7 linked regions of the Cricetulus griseus genome follow. The protein of the gene in region 1 binds, or shares a complex with, the protein of each later gene. Links are inferred from orthologs where the notes say so. Each region holds a gene or a part of one and is shown in the gene's direction. Other genes may lie near its edges.

Evidence for each region.
Region 2: Gpkow (region 1) and Plrg1 share a complex: the UniProt entries of both Homo sapiens proteins name them as parts of the minor spliceosome. The link is inferred for Cricetulus griseus from reciprocal best matches to the Homo sapiens genes GPKOW and PLRG1.
Region 3: Gpkow (region 1) and Scnm1 share a complex: the UniProt entries of both Homo sapiens proteins name them as parts of the minor spliceosome. The link is inferred for Cricetulus griseus from reciprocal best matches to the Homo sapiens genes GPKOW and SCNM1.
Region 4: Gpkow (region 1) and Dhx16 share a complex: the UniProt entries of both Homo sapiens proteins name them as parts of the minor spliceosome. The link is inferred for Cricetulus griseus from reciprocal best matches to the Homo sapiens genes GPKOW and DHX16.
Region 5: Gpkow (region 1) and Cwc15 share a complex: the UniProt entries of both Homo sapiens proteins name them as parts of the minor spliceosome. The link is inferred for Cricetulus griseus from reciprocal best matches to the Homo sapiens genes GPKOW and CWC15.
Region 6: Gpkow (region 1) and Snrpd2 share a complex: the UniProt entries of both Homo sapiens proteins name them as parts of the minor spliceosome. The link is inferred for Cricetulus griseus from reciprocal best matches to the Homo sapiens genes GPKOW and SNRPD2.
Region 7: Gpkow (region 1) and Snw1 share a complex: the UniProt entries of both Homo sapiens proteins name them as parts of the minor spliceosome. The link is inferred for Cricetulus griseus from reciprocal best matches to the Homo sapiens genes GPKOW and SNW1.

The regions. Positions count from the first base shown.
Region 1 is NC_048604.1:114,159,224-114,163,165, forward strand, and holds the start of Gpkow (G-patch domain and KOW motifs-containing protein), read left to right. Parts: upstream 1-1,142; 5' UTR 1,143-1,224; coding exon 1,225-1,394; intron 1,395-2,303; coding exon 2,304-2,464; intron 2,465-2,565; coding exon 2,566-2,690; intron 2,691-3,942. UniProt on the Homo sapiens protein: RNA-binding protein involved in pre-mRNA splicing. As a component of the minor spliceosome, involved in the splicing of U12-type introns in pre-mRNAs.
Region 2 is NW_023276806.1:71,276,789-71,280,288, reverse strand, and holds part of Plrg1 (pleiotropic regulator 1), read left to right. Parts: intron 1-1,627; coding exon 1,628-1,729; intron 1,730-2,598; coding exon 2,599-2,691; intron 2,692-3,500. UniProt on the Homo sapiens protein: Involved in pre-mRNA splicing as component of the spliceosome. Component of the PRP19-CDC5L complex that forms an integral part of the spliceosome and is required for activating pre-mRNA splicing.
Region 3 is NW_023276806.1:61,367,317-61,371,377, forward strand, and holds the start of Scnm1 (sodium channel modifier 1), read left to right. Parts: upstream 1-1,261; 5' UTR 1,262-1,377; coding exon 1,378-1,428; intron 1,429-1,813; coding exon 1,814-1,884; intron 1,885-2,123; coding exon 2,124-2,212; intron 2,213-2,309; coding exon 2,310-2,404; intron 2,405-2,504; coding exon 2,505-2,593; intron 2,594-3,939; coding exon 3,940-4,061. Other genes in the region: Lysmd1 (lysM and putative peptidoglycan-binding domain-containing protein 1), read right to left, coding at 281-476, 1,028-1,140. UniProt on the Homo sapiens protein: As a component of the minor spliceosome, involved in the splicing of U12-type introns in pre-mRNAs. Plays a role in the regulation of primary cilia length and Hedgehog signaling.
Region 4 is NW_023276806.1:229,782,775-229,786,895, forward strand, and holds the start of Dhx16 (pre-mRNA-splicing factor ATP-dependent RNA helicase DHX16), read left to right. Parts: upstream 1-1,321; 5' UTR 1,322-1,495; coding exon 1,496-1,702; intron 1,703-2,951; coding exon 2,952-3,196; intron 3,197-3,300; coding exon 3,301-3,466; intron 3,467-3,916; coding exon 3,917-3,973; intron 3,974-4,121. UniProt on the Homo sapiens protein: Required for pre-mRNA splicing as a component of the spliceosome. Contributes to pre-mRNA splicing after spliceosome formation and prior to the first transesterification reaction.
Region 5 is NC_048597.1:127,979,322-127,982,821, forward strand, and holds part of Cwc15 (spliceosome-associated protein CWC15 homolog), read left to right. Parts: coding exon 1-15; intron 16-1,384; coding exon 1,385-1,492; intron 1,493-3,500. UniProt on the Homo sapiens protein: Involved in pre-mRNA splicing as component of the spliceosome. Component of the PRP19-CDC5L complex that forms an integral part of the spliceosome and is required for activating pre-mRNA splicing.
Region 6 is NC_048602.1:28,213,612-28,217,643, reverse strand, and holds the start of Snrpd2 (small nuclear ribonucleoprotein Sm D2), read left to right. Parts: upstream 1-1,232; 5' UTR 1,233-1,386; coding exon 1,387-1,388; intron 1,389-3,495; coding exon 3,496-3,675; intron 3,676-4,032. Other genes in the region: Qpctl (glutaminyl-peptide cyclotransferase-like protein), read right to left, coding at 1-83, 454-663. UniProt on the Homo sapiens protein: Plays a role in pre-mRNA splicing as a core component of the spliceosomal U1, U2, U4 and U5 small nuclear ribonucleoproteins (snRNPs), the building blocks of the spliceosome.
Region 7 is NC_048598.1:116,328,735-116,332,234, forward strand, and holds part of Snw1 (SNW domain-containing protein 1), read left to right. Parts: intron 1-679; coding exon 680-833; intron 834-3,500. UniProt on the Homo sapiens protein: Involved in pre-mRNA splicing as component of the spliceosome. As a component of the minor spliceosome, involved in the splicing of U12-type introns in pre-mRNAs.

The DNA.
Region 1 (3,942 bases):
GTCGGTGGGTTCTAGGCCACTCATTGCTTATAATGAGACCCTGTCTAAAAAGGGGAGAGGGAGGAATTTCAAAGAATATATATTCTGACCCTCCCAACCACCACCTGTTGTTAAGGCTGAACTTGCAACAACAGTCCTGCTCTCACCAAGAAAGAGAGAGAGGGAGAGAGAGGGTGGAAGGGAGGGAGGGAGGGAGGGATGGAAAGAGAGAGAGAGAGAGAGAGAGAGAGAGAGAGAGAGAGAGAGAGAGAGAGAGAAAGAAAGAAAGAAAGAAAGAAAGAAAGAAAGAAAGAAAGAAAGAAAGAAAGAAAGAGCTAGCACCCAGGCAAAGGGGTCCCAGCCTGGCAGTTCCCTGTCCTTTATGCCGAAGACCAGAAGACATTGCCTCATCCAAAAGCTCAGAAAACTGCAACATAGAAAGTATTCCAGGGCTGGAGAGATGGCTCAGAGGTGAAGAGCACCGGCTCCTCCTCCAGAGAACCCAGGTTCAATGCCCAGCATCCACATGGCAGCTCATATAGAGTTTGTCTTAGACTTGTGACAATTCCTCCTGCTTTGTAATTCCAGTTTCAAGAGCTCCTACACCCTCTCACAGACATACATGCAGGCAGAACACCAATGCACACAAAATAAAAATAAGTAAGCCGGGCGTGGTAGTGAACACTTTAAATTCCAGCCCGGCAGAGGCAGAGGCAGAGGCATTTTTTAAAGATTTATTTATTTATTGTGCATACAACATTCTGCTTCCATGTAGATATGCACACTAGAAGAGGGCACTAGACCTCATAATGGATGGTTGTGAGCCACCATGTGGTTGCTGGGAATTGAACTCAGGACCTCTGGAAGAACAGTCAGTGCTCTTAACCTCTGAACCATCTCTCCAGCCCGATTTTGTGTATATAAGCATTTTGCCTGCATTTATTTATGTGTGTCACCTGCGGAGTTCGGAAGACAGTGTCGGATCCCCTAGACCTGCATTACAAATGGTTGAAAACCTAGGGAGAATCAATCTGCCACCACGGTTATATCACTGAGAACTACATTTCCCAGAATGCGCGGCGCGGCGCGTTCCTATGACATTTCAAACCGTTTACCAGCGTGATCGGTTTTTCCCACGGCTTCAAGACCTGTCCTTGAGGCATTGCGTCTCGGCCGGCCCCTAGCGAATTGAGCTTAAACTAAACTTCCCAGCAAGCAGTGCGCTAGCCTGGGACTCGGGACAAGATGGCGGACCCAAACAGTGTGCCGCGGGCTGCCCCTTCAACGGCCCCGATTTCTTTCGGTTTCACTCGCACGTCTGCCCGGAGGCGACTGACAGACCCCAGAGATGGCACAGGACGGGCCTCTGAGGAGAAAGATTTCTTAACGACCGTGGAAGGAAGGGAGCTACAGAGGTGAAACGCTGGGTCTTTCACGTTTTGGAAATCGGTGCGGTGGGCGGAGGGCAGAATACGAGTTGTTTGCCCTGATGACAGTGATTTAGAAGGCCTCAAACACGGCCTCAAGAAGTTTATGGAGGCATCCGGGAGTGGTGGCAAATGTTTATTAATGTCAGGACCCGGGAGGTTGGCACCGGAGGATCAAGAGTTGAACGCTAGCCTGGGCTGTATGAGAGCCTATATTTAAAAAGAGAGAAAAATAATTAAAATTTAATTTATTATTAAATTTAATAATTTAAGGGCAAGGAGGAGGTTTGTTAGAGAGGTGGGTGAAAATGGCGCCTGATAACCAAAGGTATATATTCCTCAGAGAAAAAGTCATTGGGACTTGAGGACATGTGCGTTTTGAGAAAGGAAAAGGAGGGAGAATGACAAGACTTTTAGTGTCTCAACTGAAATAGTGGAAGCTTCTCCGATTTGGAGAATGCGGCAAATACAGGTTTGGGGAGGCCATCAGCAGCATAATTAAGAAACTGATCTGAAAGACCTAAGGGAGGGACTAATGGAAGACAGCTGTCCGGAAGGCTGTTTGCTAGCCTGAAACTGGGGAGAATCTCGACCGAAGATGGTGATTTGTAAGTCATTGTGGTTGAGAGTCCAGGAATGATTTCCATAAGACACATTTAAAGCTGAGGACACGAGGAGAGGTGATGCTTGCTTGTAATTTCAGCACTAAAAGGTTGCACCAAGAGGACAGAGTTTATAAGACCAGACTGGGCTACATAGTGAGATAACTGTTTCGAAAAGAAATGGGAGGACCTGCGGAAAAATAACTTGTGGAACATGGTCCTTCGGCTGGGTGTAGATATCTCCACTTTCTAACACTTGTACTTTCCTAACCTTTTCTCTCTGTCCCCACATCAGTGTGAACCCTCCAGAAGCCCCCAAGGAACTAGTCATCCCATTGATCCAGAATGGCTCTCGGAGGCAACCACTGGCCAAGAGCCCTAAGACATCCTCAGAAACTAAGACTGTATTAATGTCAGATGGTGTGCTGTCCCAGGCTGTGAAGGAGCTCATTGAGGGTAAGTGAAACCTCCCCCTTTGCTCTGCCCCAGTACAGGTAGACAAGGAGGAAGTTGGAAGGATAGAGTATGGCCTCATTGATCCTCCCATTCTTCCTTAGAATCCAAGAAGTCCCTGGAGGAGAGGGAGAATGCAGGTGTTGACCCCACGCTCACTATTCCCATGATCCAGAAAGGATGCAATCCCAGTGGGGAAGGAACAGACAGCGAACCTCAGGCTGAGACAGTGAGCTGCCCCTTTGCCATCCTCCCCCATCATTGCCTCTACCCCGTCTGGCTAGCCTCCTTGCACATAGCAGGGAAACTGTGCATGTGTGTCCCAGAGCCTTGCCAACTAGCCTTTCTCCCTTCCATCCTTATTAGAAGCTTTAACAAATAGATAGCAGGCTGTCCCAAAAAGTACTTGAATTCTGGTATTATCTGATAGAGGTGGACAGCAGAGTGGATGGGAAATACAAATGCTATCAGAGTACACACTGTTGGGAGGCAGAGGCAGGCAGATCTCTGTGAGTTCGACAACAGCCTGGTCTACAGAGTGAGTTCCAGGACAGCCTCCAAAGCCACAGAGAAACTCTCAGAAAAAAAGAAAGAAAGAGTACACACTCTTTGGAACCACTTTTGCTTGTTTCCTCTTTTTTTTCCTTCTTTCCTTGTTCTTTTTAAACGTGTAGTATGTAAAGAACTCTAAGGAAACCAGTGTGACTGGATTGGAATGAATGAGGGGTCAGGCCATAGATGAAGGCAGAGGTGACCAGATCAAAAGGGCCTTCTGAGCCACGGGGAGGACTTTTTCTTTTAGTGTGAGTGAAATGAGAGCTATGGGAAAATTCTGAGCTGACAAGGGTTGTAACAGGATCCCCTCTGGCTGCTGTGACCCAAATATGACTAATAGTGAAGGTAAGGAGGGAAGCAAGTAGCCTAAGTTCAGGATAGAGGCGGTAAGGACACTCAGAAGAGTGGCAGGAATGAAGCCTGGAAGGTTAGGGTCTGGTGAGACAAGAAAGAGATATGTCTCAGTACATTTTTGCTTTGTTTGTTTTTGTTGTTGTTTTTTGAGACAGGGTTTCTCTGTGTAGTTTTTGGAGCCTATCCTGGCACGCGCTCTGGAGACCAGGCCTCGAACTCACAGAGATCTGCCTGCCTCTGCCTCCCGAGTGCTGGGATTAAAGGCGTTCGCCACCAACGCCCCGCCAATAATGAAGTTTTTAGTCATAAATTTGTTGTAATACATCTTTCAACTGAACTATTCTCATCAGTCTTCAGATGTGCTTTGGGTTTTTTCTTTTTGAGACAGTTTTATGTAGTTCAAGCTGGCCTTGAATTCATTATGTTGCCAAGAATGACCTTGAACTTGTGGTCTTCGTTTCTCCACCAGTATCAATCAGGCTTTTTGTTCTCTCCACCCCACCCCTTTTTTGAGACAGGATCTCACTCTATATCCATGGTAGCTGTAAGTTTCCATGTGATTGCTGGGAACT
Region 2 (3,500 bases), on another chromosome or scaffold:
GGTGATGCTGATGGTAGCTTCTTAGGTTGTGCATTCTTTATTCGAAGTGCTTGGACTGCAAGTGTTTCAGATTTTAGGTTTTTTTTTTTTTTTTTTTGGCTTGGAATATTGACAAGCATGTTTTAAACTTAATTACACATTTTTTTTGACATTTCATAAATGTAAAAATGCATTCTGATTACTCTCTCCTTCCAACCCTTTAGCCTTCCTCAACCCTCCTTTGTACTTCATGTCTTTATGTTTTGTTTAGTCGCCAACTGGGTTTAACCAGACTTTGTGTAGACCATGGGTTTGGAATTATCCACATGAGCTTGCTGGACTCAGTGGTAGATACACACCTGAAGAGAATGACTCCTCTCCCAAAATCTCAGTAGTCAGTAGTTCAGCAGGTAGGGGTAGGCCCCATGTACCCCTCCCTATCCACATCTGTCTGTTGATGGGGCTAGTCTTCTGTAGGTCCATCGCAAGATTACAGTGTCTGTGTTAGGCTCAGAAGGTGGCATTGCTCAGCTCTCCTCCCTATCCTTTGGCTCTTAGATTCTTTCCACATCCTCATCTGCAGGGTTCGCTGAGCCTTAGAGGAGAGGGTATAAATGTCTTACTTAGTGTTGAGCACTCAACTGTTACTTGCTGTCAGAACCTTGAACAGCCATGAGTCTTCTGCATTTATGACTATGACCTGAAAGAGAAATTCATCTCATTGTGGCCAGGAGTAGCATTTGTCTATGGGTATAAAGATAGATATATAGAAGACTTCCTAGCCATATGTTTTTTTGATCAGGTTTATAGTACCATGTATGGATTCCCTCCTTTGTAGCAGACCTCAAATCCAAGCAAAGAGCAGCTAATTACTCCTATAACAGTAATGCCACAAGTATACCAATGGCCACGTCTGGCCTAACTAGTTGTTATTGAAGTTTATAGGAGTCAAAGCTGGTTAGAACCATTGATGCCTTATCTCCTCTGAGAGCCTGTGCAGCACCTTCCCACTCTGTGAAAGCTGGCTAAGGAGAGTTTCCATTTCAGTTCCATCTTGTTTTCTCTGTATCTTGCAACCCAGGTGTGTGGTGTCTTTAACAATAGAGTCTTAATGTCTAGTTCTGGTGGGTAATATATTAGCATATATATTAGCTATTGCACACTCAGTGTGATACCTAAACTAAACGTGGCTGTTGGAACATTTGAAAGTTTAAATTTTTAGGTTAAGTATGCTCAACTTTTATCAGGTTGTGTATATTTTGAAATAATATTTAATTACTATTAGAAGATGGAGAGATAAAGGGAGGTTACCAAGTTTTTGCCTAAAGTTGATCAACTGTGGTTGGCTCAGTTGGGTTTGGAACTCCACAGTGATGTCTGCTCAGAGCTCAGGATTCTCTGTCTGCCTCAGGTGGTTTTTTAAAAGTATGGAACATACAGAGTTCTGATGGAGCTTTATACTTTTTTTTTTTTTTTTTTTTAAGGTTAAGAAAGGGTATTTTAGGTGTCTTTGTCTTCAGTTAATGGGGGGAAAAAAGAAAAAAAAAAAAAACCTTTTATATGTCCTTTCAATTTGTACTTTTGAATTGATGGCTTGAAACCTTCAATATGATAGCTGTAATAGTTGTGTGATCTGTCCCTCATCTAGATGATTATGGAGGCTGGCAATACCAAGAATTCTGCATTAATGGCTAAAAAAGCCCCTACGATGCCCAAACCCCAGTGGCACCCACCATGGAAACTCTACAGGGTAAGTGGGTCTGTACTTCCTTCTGCCTCGGTGCACATTAAAGGTTTCCCATCAGCCAAGAATGAGTTTGGGAACTTAGGGAGTGACCGAGGGGGTTGAGCTTTGGGCACTGTGCTTAGATGTCCAAGTGAAGCTGCTTAGTGTCTTGTTTCTAAATAAAATACAGTGTAAAGTATTGGTGGAAGGTACTAACTGTGGAGACCAGATAAGAGAGAAGTGTTTTCTGTGACAGAGAAGAAGATTCCTTAGAAAGATGTTTCTTTGACCAGTGGTCCTTCCAGCTGTAATAAATTATAAGATGACTCAAAATTCATCAGTTCAAAAATAAAATATGAGATAGAAAATGGACAGCCAGCATAAATTGCTTTTCAGACACTGTACCTTCTATACTTAATGTGTGGGTCTAATGGAAGTAACAGATGAGGATTTGAGTAACGACTGCCATAATCATGACACCATCTCACAGAGCACCCTGTACTATGGTAGTTATACACTCTTCTACTCCTGGCAACTGCTGATCCATTTTCTGTTATTATACTTGGCATCTTTAAAACAGAAAAACTATGCCATGAAATTGCAAGTGTATAATAGATGTTTCTTGATAATAGTGTCCTTCACTCAATGATTTTGAGATAAATTGCATCCCTTTTTCTTGGTTAGTAGTATTCCCTTGTCTAGATATGCATCAGTTTCAGTATTCATTTGCTCATTGAAAAGAAATTAATTTTGCTTGCTCTAAAATATGTAACTCAATTTTATAGAACTAATATTTGAAGGCGATGCAGTTCAAATCTGGGTTGTGGTTAACATTGGATACATTTTAAATAATGTATGGATGAGTCTACTTACTTCATTCTTTTGTTATATAGGTTATCAGTGGGCATCTCGGCTGGGTCCGATGCATTGCTGTGGAACCCGGAAATCAGTGGTTCGTTACTGGATCTGCTGACAGAACTATTAAGGTAGTAAGGAAGATGTTGGGTTTGTTTCTTAAGTTACTTCCTAGAGAGGATGATGTTATAGGTTTTTTTAAGATTGCTACATGCTGTAAAATTTACTGTCAAAACTGGTAACAATGCTGTTTTGCAAAGTGGCATTCAAAGTTGCTTTGGAAGCATGTTACTAGCCTTTTGTTAATTCTGTGTAACTGTTACTGAAGGAACTTTTCATCCTGGTTACAAAATGAACTCAGAGTTCTCTGTAGAGGTAGATGTAGTGAAAAGTGGAATAAGAGAGCCTAGACTGGCAGGTAGTACTATCACTGGTGGACAGACCCTCAAACGGATTTATTTTCGTATGTCTTTCTATTATTATTATTATTATTATTATTATTATTATTATTATTATTATTGAGTCTTGTTTTTCTCACATAGCATCATCTTGAAGGTCTATTCTTATGAAAAATTCAGGATTTTTAAATGGGTAGAATGTGCATATAATTCTATAAACTGTTCCTTACTGCTCAACATTAAAATTTTTAGTTTGATAATTTTCATTGGAATAAGCTTGCATTTGTTTTACATAGACTGCTTTTTGTATATTGTATTTTTGTTTAGATAGTCTACAAATGTTAGGACAAATGTCTTAGAACTGGTATGGAAAGTGCAAATTTCTTTCCAAAGTTAGTGAGCTGATAGTTGGTCCATCATGCTGACCACATAGCTCGTCAGAGGAGTGCACTTAATGTGAGCACTGGAAATGGACAGACACACAGACATGTAGTGAGGGTGAATATTTTTATCTTTGGTACTTTTCTGGATTAAGTTGCTAT
Region 3 (4,061 bases), on another chromosome or scaffold:
AAGATCCAAATAGGTTAATGGCTATAAACCACACCCCAACCACCACCCTATCCCGGCATCCAACCCAATCCAAGGAGCTGCTCCTCCCACTGGGATAGTAGGGCAGGTCTGTGAGTGTGGATAGTGCTACCCTGAGAGGTGTAAACAAAATAAGACAAAGCAGAGACCACAATATAATTAATATAACATCAGGGAAGGCCGCTTAGCAGACCACCCAGTTTCTCCTGGGCACTAAATCTCTCCTGAATGGTCACCACACCACAATCCTTGGAAGACTCACCGTCACCCCGTATTTGAGTGCTAGTCCAGCCAGGGTGTCTCCAGGCTCCAACTGATGCTCCAAGCGTCTTTCCCTCACCGGGGAGCACGATGATTGTACCAGGCTTCCATAAGAACGAGCACGGCTCCCATGCAGCAGCCCTGACCCCCCAAGTGGGGGCTGTCTAGAGGGAGAAGCCATCTCAAGATGCCAAGATCTAGGGTCACAACTGAGGAAAGCTAAGTGACCAACAGTGAGGGCCGAACCCCAGGAATGGATAGATATTCTAGGAATTCCTTCTCACTTCTCTCTTTAGTGTCCCCGCTCTCGAGAGACTACATCAATGCTCCTCTTGCTGCTGCTTACCGAGCTTGGGGTCACAGTCCGTACCCTAAGAAGGCTGCCAGGCCGGTTACATTTCTCCTTCCTCAAGACCCTTGCCCATAAATATCTTCCCTGAGTGGTCGGTCGCCGACCCCTTCGACTTTCGACGCCCTCTCCCCAACTCCTTGCAAGCCTGATCTCTGACCTTTGAACCCTAGACACCCTCATCAACACTCTCCCCTCAGTGTGTCCCCACGTCCCGCAGCCGGGCCGCCGGGAGCCCCCACATCCTCTCTGCTCCAAATCAGGCCCACCCCAGGTAGATCGTGGCTGTGGACGGTGAGCCTGGGGACTGAGAGAGTTTGCAGTACACGGTCCACTGAGATCCCCGAAGCCTCGCTCCACGCCAGGAGGGTCCCACCCTGAAACTCCGGCTCCACGTACAGGTTCTTGGTCTCCAAACACCTGGGTCCTTCGCGATGTGAGTGCCTGTACTCAGGTGAGCGGTGAGGTCTTTTAAAAACAACAAAAAAAAGAAAATAACTAAAAGACTTCATTTCCCAAAAGGCAAAGCGTTCTCAGGGCATCATAGGAAATGCAGGCACCCTCAGGGCTCTGGAGGCGGGTCTTCCGGCTCGCGCGGTGCATGCGTGGAAACGCATCCCCGGAAGTAAAGACTTAATCAGAAAAAGACCGGAAGCAGGGAAGGCGATAACCTACTCTTCCTACGGTGGCCCGAAGGAGAGGCAAAGTAGGCGTAGGAGAATTTATTATTTCTAAGACTCACAGTCGTGATGTCTTTCAAGAGGGAAGGTGACGACTGGAGTCAGCTCAATGTGCTCAAAGTAAGCCCTAGTGAGAGTCTACCCACGAGCAGTGGTGGCGCACGCTTTGAATCCCAGCACTTGCGAGGCAAAAGCCGGTGTGTCCGTGTTGCGTTTGAGGTTCGAGGCCAGCCTGGTCCACACAGCCAGCTCTAGAACAGTCAAGGCTACACGAAGAAACCCTGTCTCGAAAAATCAAAGAACTAGAGAGAGGGAGAGCCCAGCTTCAGTCGCGCTTTGCATTGTTTTGTTGCTCTGGCGACATCTGTGGGAGGGGGTTTCGGGGGCCAGAACTGAGTGATGCCTCCTCCTTCTTACCCTATGGTCTGCTCCATTTGACTCTTTATCCCTGTTATTTCTTTTCATCCATCCCTCATATTCGTTTCTCCTGTCCTGCTCTCTGCAGAAACGAAGAGTTGGAGACTTGCTGGCCAGTTACATCCCAGAGGATGAGGCGCTAATGCTGCGGGATGGACGGTGAGAGCAGAGTGGATCAAGCCTGGGGATTTGCTATCAGAGGCTCAACAGACTTTGGTTTCTAAGGAGATCAGGAGTGTAATAGATCCTTTGGTTGGAAGTGAAGATTGGAAGAGGTGGCGATCGGGAGACCTGGGCGTTGGTGGAGTGCTTTGACAGGCATAGCCCCTAAGTAGGAACACCCCAACCACCGGCTCTCCAACACATACGGGTTTGCCATTCACTTCTCTTTTCCCTAGCTTTGCTTGCGCTATCTGCCCCCATCGACCAGTCCTGGACACGCTGGCCATGCTGACTGCCCACCGTGCAGGCAAGAAGCACCTATCCAGTAAGTACAGGAGAAGGCGGGGAGTGGAGGAATGATAGAGAATACACTCTGAACATTTTGTCAGTCTACTTGATGTTGTGCTTGCTTTCCTTTTCAGGTTTGAAGCTCTTCTATGGCAAAAAGCAATCAGGCAAGAAAACAGAGCAAAAACCAAGACAGCAAAATGAATTGAAGACAGAAAGCAAAGCCGAGGTGAGAGATCTGGTCAGGTGTTGTTCAGGCAGGGCTGTACTGCATGCAACAGGACTTTTGCCTAACATCTCCAACTGTGTCTTCTTCTCTTGATAACCAGGCACCTTTGCTAACCCAGACTCGATTAATCACCCAGAGTGCTCTGCACAGAGCTCCTCACTATAGCAGTTGCTGCCGGAGGAAGCACAGGTCTGTAGAGGGGGAAATCCGGAAGTGGGAAAGGGTAGAAGGAAATAGATGGTTCTGAAGTTACTGCTCTCCAAACTGTACTCTGAGAAACACTAATCTTGTGGAGATGTTGTTTAAAGAAAAATGATAGTTTGTGGTTTGTTTTGTTTTTGTTTTTTGTTTTGGTTTTTCAAGACAAGAGTTTCTCTCTGTAGCTTTGGAGCCTATCCTGGCACTTGCTCTGGTGACCAGGCTGGCCTCGAACTCACAGAGATCCCCCTGCCTCTGCCTCCTGAGTACTGCAATTAAAGGCGTGGGACACCATCGCCTGGTGATAGTTTGTGATTTTAAAATAAATTTTAGCCGGGTGTTGGTGGCTCACACTTTAATCCCAGCACTCCGGAGACAAGGCAAGTAGATCTCTGATCTATAGAGTGAGTTCCAGGACAGCCAAGTCTACACCAAACAAACAAAAACCCTGCCTTGAAAAACAAAATAATGCACACACACACAAAAAAATAGTAACATTATTGCTGGATGGTGGCACACGCCTTTAATCCTGGCACTCCAGAAGCAAGGCCAGTGGGTCTCTGAGTTCCAGGCCAGCCGGGGCTACAGAGGAAAAAAAAAAAAAAGTAACATAATCTGGGCATAGTGGTACACTTTTTTGTTTGTTATTGAGAGGGGATCTCCCTTTGTAGCCCTGGCTGTCCTGGAACCCTGCTATTTAGACCAGGGTGGCCTCAAACTTACAGAGATCTGCCTTTCTCTGCCCCTTAAGTGCTGCAGGTACTAAAAGTGTGTACCACCATACCTGGTTATGGAAAATCTTGAGGCAAAAGCGTAGAACTATTAAGCTGGCTTTTCTCAAGTTCCTAATTCCAAAATCTTTCATATGTAAAATATTTAAGATCTTATGGAACTCAAGCTGGGTGTGGTGGTATACACTTTTAATCCCAGTACTTAGGAGGCAGAGGCAAGTGGATCTCTGTAAATTTAAGGACAGCCTCATCTACCTAGTAAATTCCAGGTCCATCATATGTACTCTATCTCCAAAAAAGCAAACAAAAAAACCTCAGGAACTAGCCAGGCAGTGGTGGCTCACGCCTTTAGTCCCAGCACTCTGGGAGGCAGAGGTAGGCAGATCTCTGTGAGTTCTAAACCAGCCTGATCTACAAGAGCTAGTTCCAACAGCCTCCAAAGCCACAGAGAAACCTTGTCTCAAAAAACCGAGGAAAAGAAAAAAAAAAAAAACAAAAAACTCAGGAACTCAGTTTAGGAAACACTGCTCTTCAGGCTTGGGAGGCACGGGGAAGCTGCTACTTTCCTTCTGTGCATTTAACAGGCTTGGTTTCTTTTCTCCCCAGACCAGAGGCTCCTGCTCCCTCTGTCTCCAGTTCTCCTTTGCCTGCCCCAGAGGTTGGACTCCAGAGTGCAAAGATCAGTAGGGAACCTGAGACTAAGGCAGGATCACATGCCAAAGAGTCAT
Region 4 (4,121 bases), on another chromosome or scaffold:
TGGTGCCGATACGAAGGCAAGCACGCATGCACATAAATAATTAAAAAAAAAAATCTTAGGGAACCTGCATAAGACCAAACTAGACTCCCTTATCATAGGTGACAATGGTGTGACTGGGACAATATATGAGGCCACTGGCAGTGGGTCCAAGATCTAACTCTAATGCACAAACTGACTTAGTGGAGCCCATCCTACGTGGAGAGATACCTTGCCAAGCCTAGACACAGGGGTGTGGGGCTGGAGAGGCGCCTTGGTCCTGCCTCAGTGAGATGATGGGACAGACTTAGTAGACCTCCCTGGGGAGGCCTCACCCTCTCTGTGGAGCAGATGGGAGGAGGGGGAGTGGAGGGAGGGGTGGAAAGGAGGGAGGGGGAACTGGGATCGGAATATAAAAAGTAAATTAATAATAAAAAAGAGAAAAAAATCTTTTATTTATTTATTTATTTTGGTTTTTAGAGACAGGGTTTCTTGTGTAGTTTTGGAGCCTATGCTGGCACTCGCTCTGGAGACCAGGCTGGCCTGGAACTCACAGAGATCCCCCTGCCTCTGCTGGGATTAAAGGGGTGCACCGCCAACGACCGGCGAGAAAAAAATCTTAAGATACCGGAACTCCCGCCCAACATACATATTTCTAGTAAGTAGCTTTAAATTACTTTTTAAAAATAGTTTTAATTGCCGGGAGGTGGTGGAGCACGCCTTTAATCCCAACAGAGACAGGTGGATCTCTGTGAGTTTGAGACCAGCCTGGTCTATAAGAGTGAGTTCCAGGACAGCCTCCAAAAGCCACAGAGAAACCCTGTCTCGAAAAACCGTGTGTGTGTGTGTGTGTGTGTGTGTGTGTGTGTGTGTGTGTGTGTGTGTGTGTGTGTGTGTGTGTGTGTGTGTGTGTGTGTGTGTGTGTGTGTGTGTGTGTGTGTGTGTGTGTGTGTGTGTGTGTGTGTGTGGTGTGTGTGTGTGTGTGTGTGTGTGTGTGTGTGTGTGTGTGTGTGTGTGTGTGTGTGTGTGTTTGGCGTTGGATTCCCCCTGGAGCTGGAGTTACGAATCGTTGGTTTTGAGCAATATGGGTGCTGGGGGAATCGAACTCGAGTTCTCTGAGCAATATCCCCAGCACCTTGTTCTATGCCTTGTTTCCTAAACCTTATTTCTCTTCCTTTTATCGCACTCTCTGGAAACGCTCTTTCTAGTACACAGGGCTGGTGCTGACCGAGCGCAACATCACCGGGTGGGGGCGGGCGAGCTTGCTGGGTGAGCATCGGGAAAGAGGCTGCGCGACTTGAACCCTCCCAGCCACCGTTAAGCTGCGGCCGGAAGAGCTCGACTCTTTCCGGGTTTGGCGGGTCTGGAAGCCAGTTGAGGGCTGCCCAGTCCGGCGCTCTGCGCTGGGAGACTCTACGGCCACCAGCGGTGCGGGGCCCGCGGCGCTGCAGATCGCTCCCGGCCCCGCCGCCGCCCTGGCTGGCTCGGCGGCTGCGCGCCCGGAGCGGGACGCGTCGCCATGGCGACGCCGGCGGGGCTGGAGCGGTGGGTGCAGGAGGAGCTGCACTCGGTGCTGGGGCTGAGCGAGCGGCACGTCGCGCAGTTCCTGATCGGCACCGCGCAGCGCTGCGCCTCGGCCGAGGAGTTCGTGCAGCGGCTGCGAGACACCGAAACTCTGGACCTTGGCGGGCCGGCGCGGGACTTCGCGCTCAGGCTCTGGAGCAAGGTGTGTGCCGTCCACCCGAGCTGATGTAGACCGCTCCACGCACGCACGCACGCACGCTCGTCTTTGGCCTGGTGATGGAGCGTAAGCTAGCAGTGTATCGGAGGATAGCCTGCAACTTTCAGTGTAGTGCACGGGCTGGCTTCGAACTTGCAGAGACACACAGAGAGAGAAAGACGGAGAGACAGAGAGCGCCTCCCATAGCAGAGAGACCTAGCACTCCCGCCCGGCTCTGCCAAACATCCACCTTTTGCCCTCTGTTACCCCAGGTACAGAGCTGTGGAGGAGACTTAGCAGAGAGGGCTGTGCAAGCATGCTTAAACCTAGGGTCCTGTTAGCCACGGTGAATACAGTGCAGCCCCCCCCCCCCCAGGGCTGAGGACGTATCTCAGTTGGTAGAGTGCTTGTCTAGCGTACAGTAAGTTTGGGGTTCAGTCCCAAGTACTGGGGGAAAGTCGCTGAGAACAGTGGAGCCGTGGGAATTAGCGATTTAGACATAGGATGGAGACCCGGAGAGAACCCTTGTTGCTCTTCGGGAGGACTGAAGTTCCCAGCATCCAGGTCTCTTGTGGCACACAGGTACCCATACACGTAAATAAATAAAAGATAAATGTGAAAAGGGAACTGGGTTGTAGAATGTAAACTACTTGAACTCTGGGCCTTTTTTTTTTTTTTTTAAATTCTGTTGTGGGGCTAGAGAGATGGCCCAGAGATTAAGGTCACTGGCTGCTCTTCCAGAGGTCTCTGATTCAATTCCAAGCACCCGCAAGGCGGCTCACAACTGTCTGTCACTCCAGTTCCAGGGGATCCAACACCCTCACATAGACACAATGCAGGCAAAACACATGCACATAAAAAATAAATCATTTAAAAAATATCCGTTTGGCCGGGCGGTGGTGACGCACGCCTTTAATCCCAGCACTCGGGAGGCAGAGGCAGGCCTGTGAGTTCGAGACCAGCCTGGTCTACAAGAGCTAGTGTTCCAGGACAGCCTCCAAAGCCACAGAGAAACCCTGTCTCAAAAAACCAAAAGAAAAAAAAAAATCCATTTGTGGGTGGATGTCCGAGGGCAACCTGTGGGTGCTGGGTCGCGCCCTCCACCATCGGGTAGTTTTCAATAATCATTTGCTAAACAGATGCATGGAAGGAAGTTCAGACGCTGAGGGCCCGATTGAGCAGAGAATGATGACGCCTGGTTTGAGCTCGAGGCTGAGGCAGGAGCTGCTCACAACCGCTTGTTTCCGACTCACAGGTACCACGGAAGGCTGTGGTAGAAAAGCCAGCTCGGGCAGCTGAGCGAGAGGCCCGAGCCCTGCTGGAGAAGAACCGATCTTATAAGTTGCTGGAAGACAGCGAGAGCGGGGAGGAAGCGGTGGGCAGCGATTCGAGCAGCCTCCAGAAGAAGCGGAAAAGACGGAAACACCTCAGGAAGAAACACCACGAGGAGGAGGAAGAGGACGAGGAAGAGGTTTCTGAGGCAGGGAAGAGGAAGACGGGGTAAGTCAGAACCGAGGAGAGAGGGAGCCGGGGCAGGTGGTTGGCCGTGGGGATGATACGCTTTCTCGATACCCCTCTTTGATGATGCGCTGGGCTGGGTTCAGGGACAGTAAGTCACCCACGGAGGAGAAGCCGGCCTCAGAGGATGAGTGGGAGCGGACAGAGCGCGAGCGTCTTCAGGACTTGGAGGAACGGGATGCGTTTGCAGAGCGGGTGCGGCAGAGGGACAAGGACCGGACCCGGAATGTCCTGGAGCGATCAGATAAGAAGGTGAAGAACAGGGCTGGAGAGATGGCTCAGAGGTTAAGAGCACTGACTGGTCCTCCAGAGGTCCTGAGTTCAATTCCCAGCAACCACAAGGTGGCTCAAACCACCTTGAGTGAGATCTGGTGCCCTCTGCTGGCCTGCAGGCAGAAGGCTGTATACATAACAAATAAAATCTTAAAAAAAAAAAAAAAAAGGTGAAGAACATTGCTAGGTACATCTGGATTTGGTTGCAGAGGTGTCGCTGGGAAGACAAGGGTTGTCGCTAGGGTTCCTGTGTGGGGAAACAGGGTCCTGTGAGCTTTCTGGTTAAGGGCCTCACTGCTTGGTGGAAATCACAGAGGCTCTTCACTGAGAAGGGGCAGTGAAGGACATTTGTCATTCTGAGGGGAATGGTCGTAGATGTGCATATCTTTTGGGCCTCATGACCCTATTTACCTGATTTCTTCTACCCAGGCTTATGAAGAGGCTCAGAAACGCCTCAAGATGGCTGAGGAAGACCGGAAAGCCATGGTGAGACCCCGGGTTCAAGAAGCAAGATCCAGGGCTGGAGAGAGATGGCTTAGAGATCAAGCTGGTCCTCCAGAGGGCCTGAGTTCAATTCCCACCAAAACAAGGTGGCTCACAACCACCTGTAATGAGATCTGGTGCCCTCTTTCTG
Region 5 (3,500 bases), on another chromosome or scaffold:
GATCCTCTCACAGATGTATGTAGTTTTGGGGTTGGCTTTTTTGTTGTTGTTCTCTTTTTAACACCTCCTAAGTGCTAGAAATGGGCCTCTGCCATTGGGCCCAACTTGTCATATTTTCTTTATTTTTTTTTATTTTGACTTTGTGAAATGATCGGTATTTATTTTTACCTACTGTTACTGAAATGTATCATTTACCTCAACTTTAAACTTAATAATTGTTTTTAAAACAAAGTATTCTTCTGCCTCAAATCTTTTACTAGAGGTTTAGTTTGGAGGGCTGCATGAAAGCAGTCTGTGAAAAAGGACATGCCCACCTGTGACTGAATTGTCAGTCATGTAGAAGGTTAAGCTGCCTTGCTGTAACTCCACAGGACACTCTCAGGCTGAGTGCCTATGAACAGCACCTTTGAGCATTCTACCTAGTTCTGCACTTTCTTTTCCTTAGATACCATGTCCTACTTAGACACATAATGCACATGGGCCCCTCAATCTGAACAGATTGAGCATAAATGCTTACTGGGACCCTACAGCCTTTTGTTATTGTTGCTGTTGTTGTTGTTGTCTGTAGCTCAGGCTGGCCTAGTAATCACAGGCTTCCAGCCTTAGACTTCAGCCTCCTGAGTGCTGGGTTTACAACTGTGTCTACTACACCTGGCTCTCAACTTCACTTTGCCACTTTTTATAGAACTGAACATACAAGGATGACCTTTCTTAAGCAGTATCTAATTGCATACATATGTCAACAATTATAGAGTACACAGAGTTATTAAAATAAGAAACCTTACCTTAAGGGAAATTCTGTTATTCACTCAAAATATTTTCTTTTGGAATATTAGCATCCTCACCTACTAATCTAGTCATTTTGAGCTACATGAATGAACTCTTTTGAGGTGAGACACTGTACATTGTACTGTGTTTCATTCTGAAGCATTACTTGTTTTGGAATGTTTCCGTATGAAAATCCTTTTTGACCTGGTGGTGGTGGTACACATCTTTAATCCCAGCACTCAGGAGGCAGAGGCAGGTGGATCTCTGTTAGTTCAAGGTCAGCCTGGTCTAAAAGCAAGTTCTAGGACAGATAGAGCTGTTACACAGAAAACCTTGTCTTGACACTCTCTAGCCCCCCAAAAAAGAAAATCCGTTTTGACTATCTAAATATGAAAGGTACTTTATCAGGGGTTGGCATTTTAGTTAGTATTCATACATTTTTTTTTGTTGGGTTTTATTTATTATACTTTTATTGGTTGTTGGTCTTAACTATGATATTTGGTACATTTGCTTTTCAATTAGGAAAATTGATTCTATTCTAAAGACTTGGTGAATATAGTTTCTGTGAGAAAGTATATTTTCTTTCTGGATCCTGGGTCACCTTGATCTGTCATAGGAGGAAGATGAGGATTTTGAAGAGGAGAGCGATGATGATGATACGGCAGCTCTTCTTGCAGAGCTGGAAAAAATAAAGAAGGAAAGAGCTGAAGAGCAGGCCAGAAAGGTAATAGTGTTTGCTATTCACATCTCTCCATTACACATTTAAACCACAATTCTTTTTAACTCTGGTGGTATCATTTATTAGAAAGCACCATGTCCAAATACTGTAACACCTATAGATCTGTCTTTTTAAAATGGCATTCTACCTCCCCTAGTTACATTAAATTCCTTTCAGATAGTTCACACATGAATAATGCTCAATTTGCTTAAGAATAAGCTAGTGAACTTTAGTCTTCTAATTAAATGTAAGATAGTCTGCCTCACTTGTTCTCAACCTTCCTAATGCTGGGACCCTTTAACACAGTTCCTCATGTTGTGGTGATCCCAACCGTAAAATTATTGCTACTTCGTAATTATAATTTTGCTACTGTTATGAATCATAACGTAAATATCTGTGTTTTCCAATGGTTTTAGGCAACCCCTATGAAAGGGTGATTCAACTGCCCAGCCTCTCCAAAGGGGTTGCAACCCATAGGTTGAGAACCAATGGTCTACAAAGATTCTCTTCCTGTCTCCTGCTTAACTTGAGACATGTGTCTCAAAAAACTGAATAGGTTTTATACAATCCAAGCAAGTTACCTAACTGTTTAATACCCACAGTCTCTTCACCTATACAATGGGAGAAAATAATATCCAAGTCAAAGAATCAGTAAGCTAGGTCCCAGTGCTGAGAGCGCAGGCAGGTTTTCAAGGTTGAGGGCATCCTGGGCTACATAGCGAGACTGCCTCAAGAAAGTAGAGTGTGTACAACGGTGCTGGAGTTTGTAAAGCAATACTAAGGAAATTGGGGTTTTGCTTAGATGGGTTCATGGATTTCAGCAGGATTAATCAATCTTCTGGCAAAAGTAGAGAGATTGGAAAAAGTCTGAGGCTGTTTCAGTACTCCTCATATGCAATGAAATGAACTATAATCTGCATGGTGGGAGTTGAAAATCAGAACTAGAAAGATAGCTCAGTGATTAAGAGCACTGACTGCTCCTGCAGAGGACCCGAGTTTGATTCCCAGCACCTATGTGGTGGTAACATCTGAAACTCCAGTCTTAGGGAATCTGACACTTCTTTCTGGCCTCCTCAGTCACCAAGCATGAATGTGGAGCATAGACAAACCTGCAGGCAAAACACCAGATAAAATAAAAATTAAAAGAAAAATAGAATTGCAAGTGAGAGAGGTGTTAATGGTAAAGCTGTCAGGAAAGTAGGTAAATGATCTCCATTGTTGGGTGCGTTGTTTCTGTGGAGACAGAAGCCTGGGTCTGTTGAGAGAAAGAGGTGATTTTTATCTTGAACACAGATAGCATCAAGTTAGAGGCCTCTGCTCCATATTCAACCAAATCAGCACAGCTTTTGTGTGGATATTGGTGTGGGATTTTATTTCAGCCAGTAATTGTTTTGTTTTTTTAAAAAGAGAAAAAGACTTGAGGGAAAAGCACTCATGTGGACCAACACCAAGCACGTGGGGGAAAGAGTTCATGTGAGTCAGAAGGGTCAAGGAAGAATTCAGAAAAGAGGACATGGAACTCAGAGCTGTCCAAACTCAGGATAGAAGAAAGCATAACAGTTCTCATCAAGTAATGGTTCTCATTAAAGTTTGGCATAGAGTGCCACTCCTGTAATAAATAGTTTTATGTTTTGTATCTTTTTTTAATTTTCAAGAAGAGTCATTGGCATGCCACTAGTGGGCAACTGTTAAATGCCTAACTGTTGGTGGTTTTCTGATTGATTATTAAGGAATAAGTAGGCATTTTTTTAAGGTCTTAAGAATTATTGGAGTTTCATCTAATGTGTTGGTATTTCTAAGAGTTGAGTGACACCTTCACTTCTTTTTATTCCTGTCTCCTTAGCTGCTTTTTGAAGGTGTTTACAGTAGCAGCATATTCAAGCTAATTAGCCTGTTGTTAGGGATCAGCACACTTCCTGTAAGGACCAGACAGTAAATATTCTTGTGTGGCTGATCACCCAGACACACAAGTAGTGGCTCTGTTACTATTACAGCTCAGAAGTGGCCACAGTGC
Region 6 (4,032 bases), on another chromosome or scaffold:
AAAGTGCCCCAGAGACGCTGCGGATCCAGCTGCCCTACCACCGTCCGTAGCTTGGCTTCCGGAAGGCTTCCAATCAGCGGGACCTTGGTGGGGAAGAGAAGAATGAAGACAAAACCCCCCATCCCCACCCTCTCCTGGGCGCCGCTGCCCCCTGGGAGCCCTGACTCTTCTTGGTGGTGCAGCAAAGACTTGGAGTTCACATGCATACACCCTAGAGCGGGAGGGCGTCTTCAAGGCAGATCTGGCCCCTGCTACTATTAGAGCCCTGACGGGAACCTTGCAAACAGATGTCTTGGGGCGCGGAGCTCAGATCTGCCCGCGTTGCTAGGCTGACCGCCTGCATCTCCAGGACGGCGAGGCAGGGGCGTGCGCTTGCTTGAGTGATGGAGAAAGAGATGTCACCCGCTCGGCACGGGAAACGGAGGAGGGACCGGGGCCCCAGGCAGGCCTCACCCGCAGATCCCGGCTGCGTGACAGCTCCTGAACCTCGGGGTGCCAGCCGTTCCAGACCATGAAGAGCGCCAAGCCCAGGGCGAGCGCCAAGAGCAGCAGGGGCAGGAGCTGCACTCGCGGCAGCAGGCGGCGCTTGGAAAGCGAGGGCGGCTGCATCGCGCCGCGATCCCCGAGCCGCTGCCGGGGCCGCCCGCGGCTCCCGGGACTCATGGCAGCAGCGGGGCCCCGAAGCCGGTCGTCCCAGACTGAGGTTTGAGTCCAGGCCAGGCTCCGCCCCTCCCCCCTATCGCTTACGCAAGCCAATAGGGAAGCAGAGCGGCGGCGGCATCGTCGCGCAGACGGCCGCGATTGGCTCCTTCTTCTCCAGAAGGCGGTGCGCAGACCCGAGGGCCCGCCCCCCACGCAAGAGGCGCAGCCAATGAGTGGCGGCTGACCGTGCGGAAGCCGCGCCCGCCGCCCTCAGGTGTCCATCAAGGAGAAACGGGCGGCGCCCATCCCTGAAGCAAGGAGGCGATTGGCTCGCTCGAGGCCACGCCCCCCCAGGAGGAGGCGGGCGCCGCGCGCTTGGAAACGGAGCTGTGTGTCGTGTCCCCGCCTCCTCCCCGCCCCCGTTCTTCTTCCACCCAGACGGGGAGTTAATTCGAGCCAGGCCCGGCGGCTCCCCCTTTTTGTTTAGTCGCGAGCGGGGGGGTCCCCCTATTGTGATCCTCACTGACATGGAATCCTCCCTCCAGGCATTTCCTACGGCAGAGAGCCGCCGCCGGGTCGCTATGGCAACGTGACACGCCCACGCCGCTGGGGCGGGTTGCGCAGGCGCCGACGGAAGTGATCCCAGAGGAGGGAGGCGGAAGTCCCGCCTTCCGCTCGCTCTACTCCGGAGGCTACACGGCAACGCGGCGGAGGCGGGAGTGAGCTGCGATCGAAACCTCCACCATGTGAGGCCGGGCTGGGCTCCCGCGGGGACGCGAAGGTGGAGGGAGGGACGCGGGCGGCTTAGCAGGTGGACTGTCGGCTTGGGGTGCTCGTAGCGGGGGCAGAGGTTCCTCCTGAGGTGTTAGGGGACGGGCGTGGGGCCTGGAAGGACGGGTCTGGAGTTCCGGAGCCGGACAGCTTCTTCTTTCTTTTCTTTCTTTCTTTCTTTCTTTTTCTTTTTTTTTAAAGTTTATTTATTTATTCATCATGTAGACAGTGCGAGCCAGAAGAGGGCACCAGGTCCCATTATAGATGGTTGTGAGCCACCCTGTGGGTGCTGGGAATTGAACTCAGGACCCCTGGAAAAGCAGTCAGTGCTCTAACCTCTGAGCCATCTCTCCAGCCCCCCTCATTTTTATTTTTTAAAGATTTATTTATTTACTTACCATGTATACAGTGCGTGCCAGAAGAAGGCACCAGATCTGGCACCAGATCTCATTACGGATGGTTGTGAGCCACCATGTGGTTGCTGGCATTTGAACTCAGGACCTCTGGAAGAGCAGTCAGTGCTCTTAACCCCTAAGCCACCTCTCCAGCCCCCCTCATTTTTATTTTTAAAAGATTTACTTATTTATTTACTTACCATGTATACAGTGTGTGCCAGAAGAAAGCACCAGATCCCATTACAGATGGTTGTAAATCACCATGTGGTTATATTTATTTATTAACCATGTATACACTGCGTGCCAGAAGAGAGCACCAGGTCTCATTATAGATGGTTGTGAGCCACCATGTGGTTGCTGGGAATTGAACTCAGGACCTCTGGAAGAGCAGCCAGTGCTCTTAACCCCTGAGCCATCTCTCCAGCCCCGACAGCATAACGGGCGTGGGACCCTGCTCTGTACTGAGTCTTGTGAAAAGAGCTGTAAGAGGAAAGCTGAGCCTGGTGGCACATGCCCAAGAGAGGCTGAGTGAGGCAGGAGGATGGTGAATTCGCGCCCAGCCTTGGGCTGCACATGGAGACCGTTTCCAAAAGTAATAGTAATTTTAAATGGGAGCCGTAAATGGATAAAGGTCTCGGCAGGGGAAGGGAGTTCTATTAAAAAATAGTGAAAGGCTCTCCAAAAAAAACAAACAAGCAAAAATCATAATGAGGGACTTAACCAGGATAAGGTAGAAAACAGACAGGGGGGCTTTTTCAATCTGCCTGGAGACTCTCAGAGTAGCAAGCTACTGCCATGGTTTGATGTGTTTATTCACCAAGCAGGTGTTACACAGACTGGTTGTTAAGTTAGACACACGGTGTATAAAAGGTCCGTGCCACCGAGAGAAAGTTTTTCTCACTGGGGCTGGTAAAAGGAATGGGGTAGGAAGACCAGAGAACGTGTTAGATGATGGAGAGTGCGGATGAAGAAATTTGAGTAGCTACCACAAAAAAAAAAAAAAAAAAAAAAAGACTGAAAATGCAACACTGGGCTGGAGTTATAGCTCAGTGGGCAGAGTACATGGCTACCTTGGGTTCTGGGTATAGTGGCAGCATGCCTGTAATCCCAGAGGTCTGGAGGCAGAGATGGATAGTCTGAGTCTCAGGTCAGCCAGGGTTACACAGTAAGACATTGTTGTGGGGATGGCGGGCACCAGGAGAAAGGTAACGGAAGATTAGGCCATGGATAGAAATAGCCAGGTTCTGGATATGTCGTAGAGGCAGATGACAAGATGTGAGGGTAGATTTCCTTTAAGAGAGTGCCGGGCTTGATGTTGAACTCCTGTAATCCCAGAACTTGGGAGGTGGAGTCAGGAGAATTGAGAATTGAAGGTCGTCCTTAGTTATATAGCAAGTTCAAGGCTAACCTGGGCTATAGGAGATCCTGTCACCAAAACAGAAATCAATTAAACAGTAGAGTTCTAGCTTAGAGAACCCGCTGAATAGAGTTGCCATCAGTGAAGACGTGGGGAATGCGTGGGTGGGAGAGGTTTTGGTGGTTAGACAGCTGGAACGGGCTAAATAGACAATGTCTCTCCCACCTCTGAAAAGGACATTTGGGGACCAGGTTGAGGAGACACTGGACAGTGCCTTTGATCACTCACACTTCCAAGCTCACCCATCTCACCCGTGGTTTTTCTATTCAGGAGTCTCCTCAATAAACCCAAGAGTGAGATGACCCCAGAAGAGCTGCAGAAGCGGGAAGAGGAGGAATTCAACACTGGTCCCCTCTCGGTGCTCACACAGTCGGTCAAGAACAACACACAAGTGCTCATTAACTGTCGAAACAACAAAAAGCTCCTGGGACGGGTGAAGGCCTTTGATAGGTGAGCACTGAGTCTGAGGGGCCTGAAGGAAAGGTTATTCCAGAAGCATAATGATAGTAAGTTGGTGACAAACTCCTGTAATCTCAGCACTCAGAGGGATCACCATGATCATGTTAGAGGCCAGCCTCCAAAATAAAAAATCAGAAAGTGTGGGGTGCTCTTTTTGTTGTTTTTTTGTTTTATTTTGTTTTCCAAGACAGGGTTTCTCTGGCTTTGGAGGCTGTCCTGGAACTAGGTCTTGTAGACCAGGCTGGTCTCGAACTCACAGAGATCCACCTGCCTCTGCCTCCTGAGGGCTAAGATTAAAGGTGTGAGCCACCAACGCCCGGCTAAAATTTGTCTTATCTGTCTATCCCA
Region 7 (3,500 bases), on another chromosome or scaffold:
TGGCTAGATTAAGGCAGTAGAATGTAACTTAAAAGTTTGGGGTACAGGGCCAGCCAGAGATGTCTTAGTGAATAAAAGAACTTGCCAATAATCTGTGAGAACCACATAGTGGAGAGAGAGACCTGACTCCCACAAGTTGTCCAGACAAATATTAAAGGCCTGGTGGTGCAGGCCTTTAATCCCAGCACTGGGGAAGTAGCCTGATCTATATAAGACCCTGTCTGTCTCAAAAAAAAAACCAAAACAAAAAACAAAAATAACTGTGTTAATATTTATCTATAAACTCAGCTCCAGAGTCTGAGGCCAGAAGGTAGCAAGTTCAAGACCATCCTGGGCTACATAAGTAGACTTTGCAAAAACAAAAGTCAGGTAGGAGTCTTAGGAAACAGTGCACTGGAGGTTGGCTTCTGTGTAAACTATGGAAGTGCAGAATTCGGTAGCTTGTCAACTGTAAAAATACCTCTTAGTTTTTAAGTCTGAACAACCCTTTGCCCTTGACATACATAGTCAAGGAAGGGGTTTCTCTGTGTCTTTGAGTATTTCCTTTCCACACACAAGAAAGTGATAAATATTGGATGCTTCTATAAATCATTGAAAAGTCTATTGGCCGAACAAAGGAAAATTGTAGCTGAATTGTAATAATTAAATGTGTTTTTTTTTTAATTCTGGTTTCCTGTAGCTTTTTACCTGCGCCCACACAACTATCTCAGGACCAACTTGAAGCTGAAGAAAGAGCAAGATCTCAGAGATCTCGGCAGACCTCACTGGTCTCCTCAAGAAGGGAGCCTCCCCCATACGGGTATCGGAAAGGCTGGATTCCTCGATTGTTAGAGGTAAGTACAGGCTGAAATTTATTACTTCACACTTGTAAAATAAATGTAAACTCTGGAGGATGTTCATTAACGGAAGTCATGGGGGTAAGTTCTGAAAGGAGGAACATGCTTGTTGTCATGGTTTGAGATCAGCAGACAGTCACTGTTTCATCTTACTGTGCTTCACTATTGAACTGGTACAAAAGGACCGAGCATTCTTTTACAAATGTAGGCCTTCCAGCCCATGAACAATAATAGGAGAGTAAGATGCAAATAAAAGAAGGAACAGATGGGGCCGGCAGGCAACGGCTGTTGTCACACAAACCTGACGATTTTAGTGTGATTCCCAGAACCTGTCCCTGGAACTTTTTTATAAGCACTATGGCATGTGAATGCGCCCCACTCGTCTCTCTCTCTTTCTTACTCCTTCCCTTCCATCCCTCCCTCTCTGTCACATACGCACAGACACATACTATTAATAATAAATAAAAATGTGAAATCTTTGAAAGGGGAAGAATCAGAGTGGGCTTTGCATTTGAGTTGTGTTCACTCCCGCCCCACCTCCAACAATGAGAATAAAACCACGCCGTAACTCTGAGAGGTAACTTTCCTGTAGAGGAAAAAGCCCATGGTGTCTCCTTTGCGGAGTTATTTCTCTGCTTTTGAAACCTTCAGTTCAAGAACGTTAGCACACGCCTGTCATGATGTTACATACTTCTTTAGAAGTGAGTATAAGCAGAGAAGAATTTAGAATGGTTGGATCATACCTCTATGATTTGTCTGTCACCAAAGAACAAATTTCCTTGACTGAGGCAGGTGGATCTCTGAGTTCCAGGCCAGCCTGGTCTAGAGTGAGTTCCAGGACAGACAGGGGCTACACAGAGAAACACTGTCTAGAAAACAAACAAACAAAAAAATCTCTGCTTTCATTAAGCCTTTTCTCTTTCCCAGTATATTTTCCTTTTTTTTTTTTTTTTTTTTTTTTTTTTGGTTTTTCGAGACAGGGTTTCTCTGTGGCTTTGGAGGCTGTCCTGGAACTAGCTCTTGTAGACCAGGCTAGTCTCCAACTCGAGAGATCCACCTGCCTCTGCCTCCCAAGTGCTGGGATTAAAGGCATGCGCCACCTTATTGCTACAGGTTTTTGTTTTTTGGTTTTTGTTTTTTTCATTTCCTAATTTTGCAATAACGTTATGAATGAACTACATCATTTTTGTACCCAGTTATTGTTGTTCTTTTTTGTTTTGTTTTTTAAGGTTCATTTATTTTATATGTATGGCTGTTTGCCTGTGTATCTGTGTGCCACATGCATGCAATGCCCTTGGAGGTCAGAAGAGGCCTTGGATCCCGTGAAACTGGAGTCACAAGTGGTTATGAGCCACCCTGTGGGTCCTGGGAACCAAACCTGAGTTCTCTGCAAAGAGCAGCCCCTTGTATCACTTTCTTACATGGCAATGATGTGGCCTTACAGATGAGGTGTCTGCCACCAGGCGTATTTATGGTCTTTGAATAGAACACTGCTTACCATCTTGTCTGAAGCTGTGTGCACTGTCTCCCATGTTTACCATGCCGCTGCCCACTAGAAAATAAGCACCTAAGAAAACCCTCCCTGCCTCGATCCGCATAGCCCTGGGGTTTGGGTGGTTTTCTTTGTTGTTTGGGGATTTGTTTTGTTTTTGTCTCTATTTTCATCTGGTCTTTATGCATCCTGCTATATGAAGGGAAGTCTTGCTGTTGTTAGTAAAGGATTTTGTTCTTGATTTTGTTCTCTCTGGAATTAGTGAGATGTACAGCAAGATAGAGAGAAGTTTTCCAAGAGACTGGAATACCTTCCTGTCTGGAACCAAAAGGTAGTGGTGACTGACATGATAGAATTGTAGTTGCTATCCCTTTTGAGAGGTTATAGATGTGCTTTTGGGGCGCCTGTCCCCAGATTACAGGGTGGGGACAGCAGGCCTCATTTTCTGTACAAGGGAGCCTTTGAGCTTTATGACATCTGGTGGCTGTTAGCCTTATAGTCTTAATTGATTATCAAAGGTTTCCTCTGTCCTGGTGGAGCAGAGTAGTTCATTTGGAAATCAAACTCAAATGGCCAGCTAATCTGAAAATGCCAGGGATGCTTTGAGGGGAGTGACTGTTCTGGGAAGAAGGCATTTTGTTCTAGTTTTCAGAGTAAAAGCTGTGATTTTCTGGCAGCCTTAATGACCACATAATGCTACAGCTACAGTTCTGAAGTGCTGATTATAGTTGAAGAACTCCAGCAAATCTGAGCATATGTCAAATTGATGGTCTGGATACAGGAAGCACTTTTCTTAGGAAGACTATTTCTGCCTAATTTACAAGAAAATATCTCTTTTTACTTCTGTTGGTTTTCAAAATTTTCAGCTCTCTCCAGTAAATAAGCATATTGTGCCAAGATCTAATGAAATACTGTGTGGGAAAAAGTCTTATAAAAATGAATTTGTTTTTCAATAAATACCCTCTTATTAATGAATTTCAGTGTTTTTGATAACATTCTTGGTAATATGGGTTGAGTGTGCCTTATGTACTATACTTAGTATCAGAAGTAGTTCAGATTTCATCGAGGGGGGAGTTGTTTTTTTGGTTTTTTTGGATTTTGGAGGATTTGCACAGACTTTATTGATTTAAAACTATTAGGGCAACCAGGCTTGGTGGTCTGTGCCGTTAATC